3 linked regions of the Mus musculus genome follow. The protein of the gene in region 3 purifies or fractionates together with the protein of the main gene of each other region. This does not show direct contact. Links are inferred from orthologs where the notes say so. Each region holds a gene or a part of one and is shown on either strand. Other genes may lie near its edges. The genes, in order: Cd44, Otud5 and Slc7a11.

Region 1 (3,653 bases), on a different chromosome or scaffold from region 3:
GGTTATGGTCTTCACATACTGCAGGTGATTCTTGCATACCATGAAGAACCTACTGGGTTCCATGCGAACTCCAGTTTAGAATGGGAGCATCACATATAACAAATGTCAAAGGTCACGTTAGTGAAAGCAGAGAGAGAAGGCAATTACAAGGCTCCCAGGAAGGCACCCACAAGAGGCTACAGACTGCCTCCTGTGGAAAACTGCACTGAAGATGCATAGTTTCTGACCCCTACCTGGAAGTACCCCAGAGAATGAGCTAAGAAAAAACGGACATACAGAAGACAAAATGAGCATGATATCACCTTCCTAAGTGGAGCTGTGTGAGAGGAGACAGTGAAAGAAGTGTCAGCCTAGGTGTGAGTTTTCAACTTGCCCCACCCATGTAAGGTCATGTAAGATGGAAAACAAATTATTCACTTTACACCCAGAAGACAGGAAGTAGTGCTGTCCAAGGCAGGAGCCTAGTTCCTAAATTAGTTTAGGCTTCTTGATTCCAGAGAATTCCAGATGACCAATAAGAAGGAACTGATGACACACCTCCAGGCAGATCCTTCCAAAAATAACATTTATAATAAGCAGCCAGTGGGATAACCCAAGCCTACAGAGCCTGTTGTTCTTGCTAGTTTTCCCAGTTGCCACCCACTGAGCACCCTAAAGGGAAGAATGAGCTGGCTAAGCCAGGCACAGCTTCTTCCATGTCCTCAGCCAGCCCAGCTCTTGACCTCTGCTCCCCTGCATGCTAATCTCCATCCACTCCCTCTCACTGTGTCTCAGCCCTCCACCCAACAGTGATAAGTAAGCCCTTGGGAAGCTCCTCATGGGACTTAAAAGGTAGGATTCTATTCAGAAGCTTAGATAGCATAGCTCTCTTGCTACCTGCTACATTCAAGTAAACTTAAACTGGTGGGCAAACTGGCCTCTCCTCCACACCCATTAAAAAGAACTAAGCCACATGCTCTCTAAAAAAGGGAAGGCAAAAGCTCCTTTTCCCTCGAATCCTGAGCTGCGTTTTAGGTACGCTTCGGTCACTCCCTTTCTTTGATTTCTGGGCTAGGATGCTGTACCCGTGAAGGGCGATCTGCCTCTGACCCTCATAAACCTCAGCAGTGTCTGGAGCAGAGAAGACACATGATATGGAGTGAATGGATGAAAACCTCACTGACCCTGGTTTCTTTTTTTGATATTCATAGAGGAAATGACCTGGGAGAGCACCGAAGCTTGAACTGATGTACCTTGTGGACGGATGGAGTCTGTGTACTTGTGCATGTGTGGAGGCTACAGGTTGACATTAAATTCCTCGATTGCTGTCCACCTTATTTTTGAGCTAGGATCTCTCACTGCACCTGAATTTGGCTAAATTGGTTAGGCAGCAAGCTGCAGGATACCTCCAGTCTCCATTACCCTTGTTACTAGGATACAGATGCGTGCTGCCATGCTCAACCCTGAGACTCTGAGTATTAGAATGGATCTGGTACAAAATTAGCACCTTAAGATGGATTCACTGACTGGCCAGATTGGATGGGGAAGGAGCAGTGCTTAGGGAATGGGTTAAGGATGCTAATATATTTGGCCAATTACCCCTCTTCAAGTACATGTGAAACTCCCACCCCACACAGGTTGGGACTCCAGCTGTATTCAATCTCCACATGACAGATTTTGTTCGAGGATGTTCTTTTGGGGTGGGAAATAGGACTTTAGGTTAGACCTGTTCTGCTTCCTTATCAGACCACTAATTACTGTATTTGCCAACATCTGTCAAAACTGCACATTCCAATGAGAAGCACGTCAGACACGGTTGCATCAAAAGGACAGGGGACCCAAGTAGGTGCACATAGCTCGCAATGTCACCTGCCTGCTCTGCAGAGGTCTCTGTGGAGAGGTATTTCCCAGGACACTACAGACAACAAGGTGACAAACCATCAGAGAGGAAGTGACCTGGGAGGGCGTGAGAAGCTTGTGAGCGTTGCCTCATGTGGATAGATGGAGTCCGTGTACTTAGGCATGTGCAGAGGCCAGGGGTTGACATCAAGATGTTATCCTGCTTGCTGTCCACCTTAGTTTTTGAGCTAGGAACCCTCACTGAAGCTAGAGCTCACTGACTTGCCCGGGCTGGCTAGCCAGTGAGCTCCAGGTTTTCCCCGTCTCTGTCTAGTATTAGGAGTGCAGATGCACACTGTCATGCTCAACTTTTTATGTAGATGCTGAAGATCAAAAAACTCTGGTCCTCATGTGCTTGCCTGGCAAGCACTTTACCCATTGAGCTATCCCCGAACCCCCGGAATCTGATGGGGGATTCTTTTTTATTTTTTGGAAAGGCTTCAAACAATTTCCTGAGAATGACTGGAATCCTGCACCCGTTCATATCAGCCTTCCCCCTCACTCAGCAACCTGATAACAGAAATCTAAAACACTGTTAAGTGAGTTCAGCTTGCTTCAGAGTGCTATGGAGGCTTCCTGGCTTCTGGGTGACAAGGGCCCTATCTTGTATATTCCCAAGCCAGTACGTTCCTGCCAAACGGTGAAAAAGCCAGAGTTCCACCCCTCTGAGTTTCAGCCAGGAAATGTGAAAATCCACACCATACTAGGAGGCTCAGTGAAGGCTTAGCTGCCCTTTTTGGGTGTGAATAATTCTCCACAGAAGGAGCCCGGCCATCTAAAACCTCATTCTAAAACAAACCATAGAGGAAGTGCAGAGAGGGAAGTGGAGGAGATAAAAATCTCTGAGCACCTTCCTAACAGAGCTCATCTGCACAAACCTGCAGCCACTCAATGCTGCATGGGCTGCCTCCCCTGCCATTGCCCACAGATACCTAATGCTCTTGCATTAGGGTCTTCCCCCACAAACTGCAATCCAGAACTCTACAGCAACAGAAGGTGATCAGAAAACCCCTCACTCTTGCTTCCTTTGGCGGGGGGGGGGGGGGGAGCATGGTTTGAAAATTAGGGTTAAGAATATGGATATTACACAATCAGAATCCTAAGAATGGATCCTTTAAGGCACTGATGGAGCATACACTCTACAGTCCTGACTTTAAGAGAACAGTTTTCTCTTAAAGAAAATGGCAAATGACAAGAATAAAACAAGCAACACCACAAATTATTTCTGTAACAGGTCGGAGGCACTGTTAAATCCTTAGGAGCAAGAGAAAATCGGCACCTTCCTGAGGAAACCCTGCCAATATGGCATTCCTTATCCCAAGGTAAGAGGTTCAGAGGTGAAGATGGTGGGGATCTGAAGGGGAGTAGAAGCCATGGCACAATGACCAGGAACACTGACAGGAACAAGAGCTGGACTCCCTAAATGATCTCACCCACAGCTAGATGTCTAGAGATGGCAGAAAACAGACCCTGGGGTGTGCGTTACTCAGGAAGGCCGTTGGCATTCTGTCAAAGAACTGCTAGAGGAAAACCCAGGATGCCATTCTCCTTACTGGTGGCCAAGGTGCTCCGGATAAAGAAGGAGTCATCCTGATCTCCAGTAGGCTGTTCAGTAGGAAGGTAGGTGTGCAAAATGTAGCTTTCTGGGGTGCTCTTCTCGATGGTGGAGCCGCTGCTGACATCGTCATCTATAATGTTTGAAGCATCGATGTCTTCTTGGTGTGTTCTATACTCGCCCTTCTTGCTGTAGCGAGTACCATCACGGTTGACAATAG
Region 2 (3,653 bases), on a different chromosome or scaffold from region 3:
ACCCCTGGCAAGTCTTCAGAGAAATAGACTGGCAGGCTTGCTTGGTGGGCACGTTCCCATTCCTAGCATTCCCTGCCCCTGTGCCCTAGGGGGATCCCATTAGAACTGTGTATCTCTGGGGAAACACAGGGAAATTCCCTTTTCAAGGCAGCCAGTGAAAGTCAGGTTTGCTTAATCTTCAAGCCCACATTAATTAAGAAACTCTTGCTTCCTGTGCCTCAGCATATATGACTGCTCAGCAAACTGTACTCAATTTCTTTTACTATATCAGGTCCTGAGCTGCCGGTGGGCTTAGGTGTGAGCTGCCCCTTATCTTCAGTGGAGGCTTTGTGTAATCAGTCTGTGTACACCTTTGAGTTGGATGGTAGAGGAGTTCTACCACTTTACACAGACTGTCCACATTGTCCACAAGAAACCTGTCAGGTCACACCTGTTTGTTTTCCACTTCACAGAGGAGGCATAGGAAACTCAGAGAGTCATTTGTCTCTGGCTGTTTACCTCACTAGTTACTATTTGGCAGAACTTAAAGTGTTTTCCTTCCCTTCAGTTTTTAAAATTCTAATCATAGCCATGTGTGTTGACGCACCTCTTTAATCCCAGCACTAGGAGGCAGAGACTGGTAGGTAGATCTCTGGAGTTCAATGTCAGCCTGGTCTACAGAATGAGCTTCAGGATAGCCAGGGCTACTCTGGGAAAGAAAGAGTGGGGGCCAGGAAGGAGAGAGGAAAGGAAAGGAAAGAAAAGATTCTAATCATGGTGGTAGCCTTTAATCCCATCACTAAGAAGGCAGAGGCTGGCAGAACTCTGTGAGCTTGAGGCCATCCTAGTCTATGTATCAAGTAGCAGAGCAGTCAGAGCTATAGACTGAGACCCTATCTCAAAAAAAAAAAAGATTCTAATCTTTTTTGTGGTGGTGGTAGGTATTGAATGTAGCGTTTGGTTTGGCTTGAAATGGAGTTTTACTAGATCTCAGGTGATCTAGGCTTTGAACTTGGCAATTCTCTTGACTCAGCCTTGATTATAGGTATATACTGCTCTCCTTTGTTTCCCCCACTGAGACAGGGTTTCTGTGTTTATCGCTGGCTGTCCTGGAGCTCACTCTGTAGACCAGGCTGGCCTCGAGTCCTGGGATTAAAGGCATACACCACTGTGCCCAACTTAAAAACTTTTTGTTATTTCATTTTTATTAGTGGGTATGGAGATTGGGATGGTCACTACATGTAGAGGTCAGAGGACAAGTTAAGGGAGCAATTTGGTTCTCTCCTTCAACTGTATGAGTCTTGAGGATTGTACTCTAGTGCCTTTATCCACTGAGCATCTTGCTGGCCCTTGACTGTACTACTCTCACCTGTCTACCCTATACGCTTTCATTCTTCAAGAGTGTTTGACTTTGCTACTTTTTTTTTTTTTTAGACAGGTAGCCTAGCCTGGCCTTGACATAATCTTCTGGCCATTCCACTTGCACATCCTGAGGGCTGGGATGGTAGACATGTACCAGGCCACCTGGCTGATCTGTGCATGTTCAGCATGTTTTCAGCCCTTGCTTGTTATTTCCACCACTCCTTTACAACACAAATGAAGGCTCAGGCCTTGGTGTAGAAAAGGGAGTTTCCCTAGTCCTTCAGTCTGTCTTCTCCCTAATGATTGTTGTATGACTCTGTGACTCAGAGCTCTGGTGGTGACAGCTCTGACCCCATCCTCTCCTTTGTTTTGTCCTCACACCCCCAGCTGACCAGGTGTATGGAGACCAGGACATGCATGAGGTTGTTCGAAAGCATTGCATGGACTATCTGGTGAGATCCAAGGGAGGCCTTGGGGCAGCAGGAGGGTAGGGGGACCCCCGTTGCACACAAACCTTAATTTTCCAATCTATTCCACAGATGAAGAACGCTGATTACTTCTCCAACTATGTCACAGAAGACTTCACCACCTATATCAACCGGAAGCGGAAAAACAACTGCCATGGCAACCACATTGAAATGCAGGCTATGGCAGAGATGTACAACCGTCCTGTGGAGGTGTATCAATATAGCACAGGTACTTCTGTAGTGGGTAGGTGAGGGACTAATGGTTCCTCATCAGAGCCAACCATACCGGGCCCCCCTGTGGATGCTCCCTCCTTCTCTTTCTCTGCAGAACCTATCAACACATTCCATGGGATCCATCAAAATGAAGATGAACCCATCCGTGTCAGCTACCACCGGAATATCCACTATAATTCAGTGGTGAATCCTAACAAGGCCACTATTGGTGTGGGGCTGGGCCTACCGTCATTTAAGCCAGGGGTAAGTGGGTCCCTGTGCCCCAGGTAGATATGGATCATTGACTCTGCCCTTAGACCATAAAACTGTCTCCCCCTAAGTTTCACCTGTCTATAAAATTAGTGAGTCACCATTGATCAGAACTCATTCTGTAGCTTTTGATTTGCCTGTCCATGAAGTGGCTCACTAATGTTATTCTGGTTGAGCCTTTTAGGATGTAGAGCTCAATTTGAAGCAGTAAGGCAGACCTTGGACTAGGTATCCAAGCTTCCACACAGGTAGATCTTCTCCAACTTCAGAGCACTTACAGTTGGAGTCACAGACTTGGAATGTAGCAGCTTACTGGAATGGGCCCTGTGGACAGATTGTATTGTTTGGGCCTATACTGAAAGTCCTTCCCACAGGCCCAAGACCTAATTGGTGTCAGAAGATGGGAGTTGATTTGCCCAGCATCCACTGGCAGATAATCATTTCCGTCTCACAGTCTCTCTCCTCATCTTCCCTGCTCCATCCTCCCCCTTTCATCATGTCCTCTGATCCTCCCTCTTGCCTTCCTCCTAGGCTCTTTCCCCTTCTCCTCACCCCACTTCCTCTCCTCCCCACCCCCTCTCCTCCCTGGTCTCTATCTTCCCTTCACCCCCTCCTGGGGGTTTTGAAGTCTTCTATTCAGGTTTCACTTCCTACAAACCGAAGGTGGTCCTGCCTAATCTTAAACAACATCAACATACCCTCCAACCTTGGTGGGGGGGTGGGGTTATTTTTTAACTAAATTTTAGAAAAGTTACAGATTTGCAAAATGATTGGGAGAATATTAGCATTTCCATATGCCCCACTATGATTAACATGAACATAGTACATTTGTTGTCATTAACAAATCAGTATGGATTCATTAAGAACAATTTCCTCAGTTTCTACTTGGTGAGCCTTTTCCAGGATTCTGTCTCACATTTAATTGTTCCCTTTGACTTCTTGTGACTTTAACAAATTCTAAAGAATTTGACTGCTTTTGTTTTGATCTGGTGACCCACTCCACCGGTTTAGAATGTCATCTAATGGGAATTTCGCTGCGTGTATGTAGCTATTCCAGAATGAATTTTTTCTACTTAATTAATATCATTTAAGATTCATCTGTAACTTTTACTTTATTTCCTTTTCCTTTAAACGTCTGAATGTTTAAATGTTTCTCTAATTAATAGACTTCATTGTTCAAAACTATTTTACATTTGTTTTGGGGAGGGGTTTGTGGAGGTCTCTCTGTTCATCAAGCTTGGTGCAAAGCCCCCTTCCTCCTTGAGAACAGTGTTCTCAGTGTACAGTTTCCATCTAGTCTCTTCCCAAGGAACAGAGACTTGGGTAATCTGTTACCATGTGTGAACCAGTATTAATACATGC
Region 3 (3,653 bases):
GGGAAAGCAAGGTGGAAGGCTCAATTCACGACGTTTGATTTTTGCCTTCCATTTGTTTTTTAAACTTTAGAAAACACAGAAAAATATTCCAGATCCTTATTGGTTTTCCTGTTTCAGTGGATATCAATCATTTGCTTTCCTTTGAAGACAACACTTTTTCCCTCAACTATGCACATGGCCAGGTGCTCCTCAAAGGAGAATACTTTGTCATGGGTGCTATGTCTGCTTCCTTTCTTTCCCTCTTTCTTCTTCTCCTTTCTCCTCCCAGGGCCTCATTTCTACTTTGGACAATCTGAAATAGGGCAAACACAGTGTTTCTTTGTTGCTGATGACAACCAAGATCAAGTTTTTTTTTTTTTTCTGTCTTTCACTTTTATGTCAAAGTTGGACCTCTTTAATTAAAAAAATTATCCTTCTCATGTGATGAGCCATTAATCACACAGTCACTTGCATAGAGAAATAGATACTCATTAGGTAACTTGGGGAGAAGCAGGGTTGTATTTGACTATTTTCTATATGCAACATCTCTGTACGTATTCCAGACAGAAATTATTTCGATTTTCATCATTTTGATAATACCGTTGAGCACTGACAGTGGATCTAGTTATCCCTTCACGCATTCATTCAAACATAGCTGAATTATGTTAGCCTCCATCTCAGACCTTTCTTAGTCTTCTCATAATTACCGCTTTGACTTACTTCATTACTACCCCCTATTTTACTGTCAGTGGAGACTTTGATCCCCCCCCCCCACACACACCTTTTTTCAAATTTGAAATTTTCAAATTTTCAAAGTTGAAATATTTTGACATTCTGTCATCTGTAGGTTCTTGATGTTACTTTTTAATTTGTTTCTTTATTTTATGTATATATGTGCTCCATCTGTATGTATACCTGCATGCCAGAAAAGGGCATTAGAGCCCATTACAGATGGTTGTGAGTCACCATGTGGTTGCTGGGGATTGAACTCAGGGGCTCTGGAAGAGCAGCCAGTGATCTTAACCACTGAGCCATCTCTCCAGCCCCTGATATTACTTAATAAATATCTCTCCTGACATCCTTCTTTCCTCCGTTTCGGACTTTATCATCCCCCACCCACCCCCATGCATCCATCAATGACTAGTTAACCTCCTCTGTGGCTCAGTGGCATATCCCATAAACACTATGTCATGTGATGTATGATTGACTATGGTATATTGATTTTTAGATGGCAATCCAAAACCATTAAAAGTATGTATATTAATTAGGCACCGTTCTGGTATAGATTGTTTTAATTTTCACATTTGTTATTGCCTATTAATGGCATCTCACCAATTCTTAATTATGGAATTGAACTAATAGATTATATTATACAAGGGAAACACAGTGAGAACTCCCGAATCCACACAATTCTAATTTGAATAGTATGAATTCCACTGGTGTTTCTTTTAATGCCATGAGAAATAATTTTATGCATTTAAAAATCTTTTTAAGAGAGAATAATCTTTACTAAAGTAAAGCTTATTGGTGAAACCCATAAATGTCAGGAATGAAATAGCTGATGTTTTGGGCTATACTGTGCCTATGTTCTTGGCAAGAACATAAAGTTGAAATTTACTGTGTAGAAATAATCCTGAACACTCCATTGAGAAGAAAATGAAAGCGTAGAATACCACCATTAAAACTGTGCTTTAACATTTTTGAGAACCCAGTTCATTCATTCATTTACTCATTCATTCAACAAAAATATGTTATCTACCTGGGCCAGGAAGAGATTATTGGCAATTATTGGCAATGCCAGGATGAATAGCCACTTTTCCGTCTTTGATGTGGACGGGGGTGGCTGTTTAGGAAACTGTCAACAGTATCTTAAGAAGAAAATCTTCTGGCTTCAGACTCACTGTGCATCCTAAGCTGAAAAGTCCCAAGACCTTTTGCTTCAGTAGAAAACATATGTTGGCAACCAATACTTGCAGGGTAGATTAAAACTCACCCTCATTATCTAGTTGGAAGTCAGGAATTCCAAGAATAGTTCTTAGTAGGTCTGGTCCTGATGGTACAGAACAGGATCTCAGACAAAGCACTTCTTACCCCTTCTTCAGTACTATCCTGACCACTGGATGACTTCAGGATGAAGCTATTTTACTTTATTGTTATTGCATAAAAATATATGTTCATTGTTACCAATGCGTAAAGAATAAAAGAGATCCTCTGACTGTATAGGAGACTTATCCAAGCTTCTCAGACTTGAGTGTCTCTCAAAGAGCCATCTTAATGCAGGAGAGCCTGGATCTGGACAGAGCCTGGGATTCTGCACTTCTTAATTTCTGGTAGTTCATGCCAGCACTGCAGGTTTATAGATCTCATTTCGACTGACAAGGACCTAAGACATTGTTGTGCTCATGGGACTTTGCCTTTTGTGACTGTGTCTGTTTGTTTGCAGCTGTGGTGATGGTCCTAAATAGCACGAGTGTCAGCTGGAGTGCCCGGATCCAGATTTTCCTAACCTTTTGCAAGCTCACAGCAATTCTGATAATTATAGTCCCTGGAGTTATACAGCTAATTAAAGGTATGGGCTGAAAAGGAAATGCGTTTTAAACTGCGTATCTGCTTCTGGTCTCTTCTAACACCGACTTTCGCTTGTCTAGCAGAATCCTTAATTAGTCTTTGCTTGTGGAACTTAAACTCTGTACTGTCATCTAATTGATTTGAAAGGCTACATCGAGGATGAGTTGGTATTTATAGTTGAATGGCAGCAAGAGAATTAAGACTAGATGGAGCAACTAAAATGAGGTGTCTGAGAATTCCCTTGGTATGAGTGGCTTGGAGTCAACCCTAAAGTAAAAAGCAAAAACAAACCAAAATGAATTTGCTATTTAGTTTTAAGTACAGATCAATATGTTCTTTGTTTGCACTCCAGAACTTTTCAGTAGTAGAAACAATTATGAAAGATAAAAATATTTCTGGAAAATAATGAAAGATGACCGATAATTCTTGATTTTTTTCATTTGCATTTCTTCACTCCGAGATCAGTATACACAGAAGAGTAGTGAAATCAAGATCCTTATATGACAATAAAACATTGCAAAAACTTAGCTTTTATTATTACATTATTTTCTATGTAAAACTTTCATTTCTGAAGAAATGGTGTAGCTTTTGGATTTGTCATTGAGCTTCCTATTTAATAAGATAAGAATTTGAGTGATGATGTCATAGTGTATGGTTGGCCCTAGTAGATGGTGTGTGTGCTTGCATAGATTTAGTGGAAATGTTCCGAAGAGAAAGAGGACCCACCAGGTTATGGAATTTGTAGCAGCAAATAGAAATGATAGAGTGAATCCATTGGAGAGAGGTGACATATCATGTGGGCATGTTAAGTATGTGTCATTTACATTGACATTGTCAGTTCCAAGCAAAGGAATTTATAGGGAAATCCAATGACCCTGCAGGAGGAGAGTTCCAACACAAAAGGAAGTGGCAAAGCTCAGCAAACCCATTGCCATCATAGAGCCACCAAGCAACCACCTTGAGAACTTGGTCACTCTAGTTAGGAAAGGGAATGGCTCTTGTCCATTTAATCATCCTAGTGGGTGATCTTAGAGTCCTGTTGGTAAAATGCTTCGGTCAAATCCAGTAACCTCAGCCCCTGAATAAACACAATGAAGTGAGAGAAG

The links.
Region 1: the proteins of Slc7a11 (region 3) and Cd44 purify together in Homo sapiens (affinity purification with western blotting; 3 studies listed by BioGRID and IntAct, with this or other methods). This does not show direct contact. The link is inferred for Mus musculus from reciprocal best matches to the Homo sapiens genes SLC7A11 and CD44.
Region 2: the proteins of Slc7a11 (region 3) and Otud5 purify together in Homo sapiens (affinity purification with western blotting; 3 studies listed by BioGRID, with this or other methods). This does not show direct contact. The link is inferred for Mus musculus from reciprocal best matches to the Homo sapiens genes SLC7A11 and OTUD5.

What each region holds. Positions count from the first base shown.
Region 1 is NC_000068.7:102,849,584-102,853,236, forward strand, and holds part of Cd44 (CD44 antigen isoform c precursor), read right to left. Parts: coding exon 3,432-3,653; intron 1-3,431. UniProt on the Homo sapiens protein: Cell-surface receptor that plays a role in cell-cell interactions, cell adhesion and migration, helping them to sense and respond to changes in the tissue microenvironment.
Region 2 is NC_000086.7:7,865,787-7,869,439, forward strand, and holds part of Otud5 (OTU domain-containing protein 5), read left to right. Parts: intron 1-1,728; coding exon 1,729-1,793; intron 1,794-1,880; coding exon 1,881-2,037; intron 2,038-2,136; coding exon 2,137-2,285; intron 2,286-3,653. UniProt on the Homo sapiens protein: Deubiquitinating enzyme that functions as a negative regulator of the innate immune system. Has peptidase activity towards 'Lys-48'- and 'Lys-63'-linked polyubiquitin chains. Can also cleave 'Lys-11'-linked ubiquitin chains (in vitro).
Region 3 is NC_000069.6:50,426,546-50,430,198, reverse strand, and holds part of Slc7a11 (cystine/glutamate transporter), read left to right. Parts: intron 1-2,422; coding exon 2,423-2,548; intron 2,549-3,653. UniProt on the Homo sapiens protein: Heterodimer with SLC3A2, that functions as an antiporter by mediating the exchange of extracellular anionic L-cystine and intracellular L-glutamate across the cellular plasma membrane.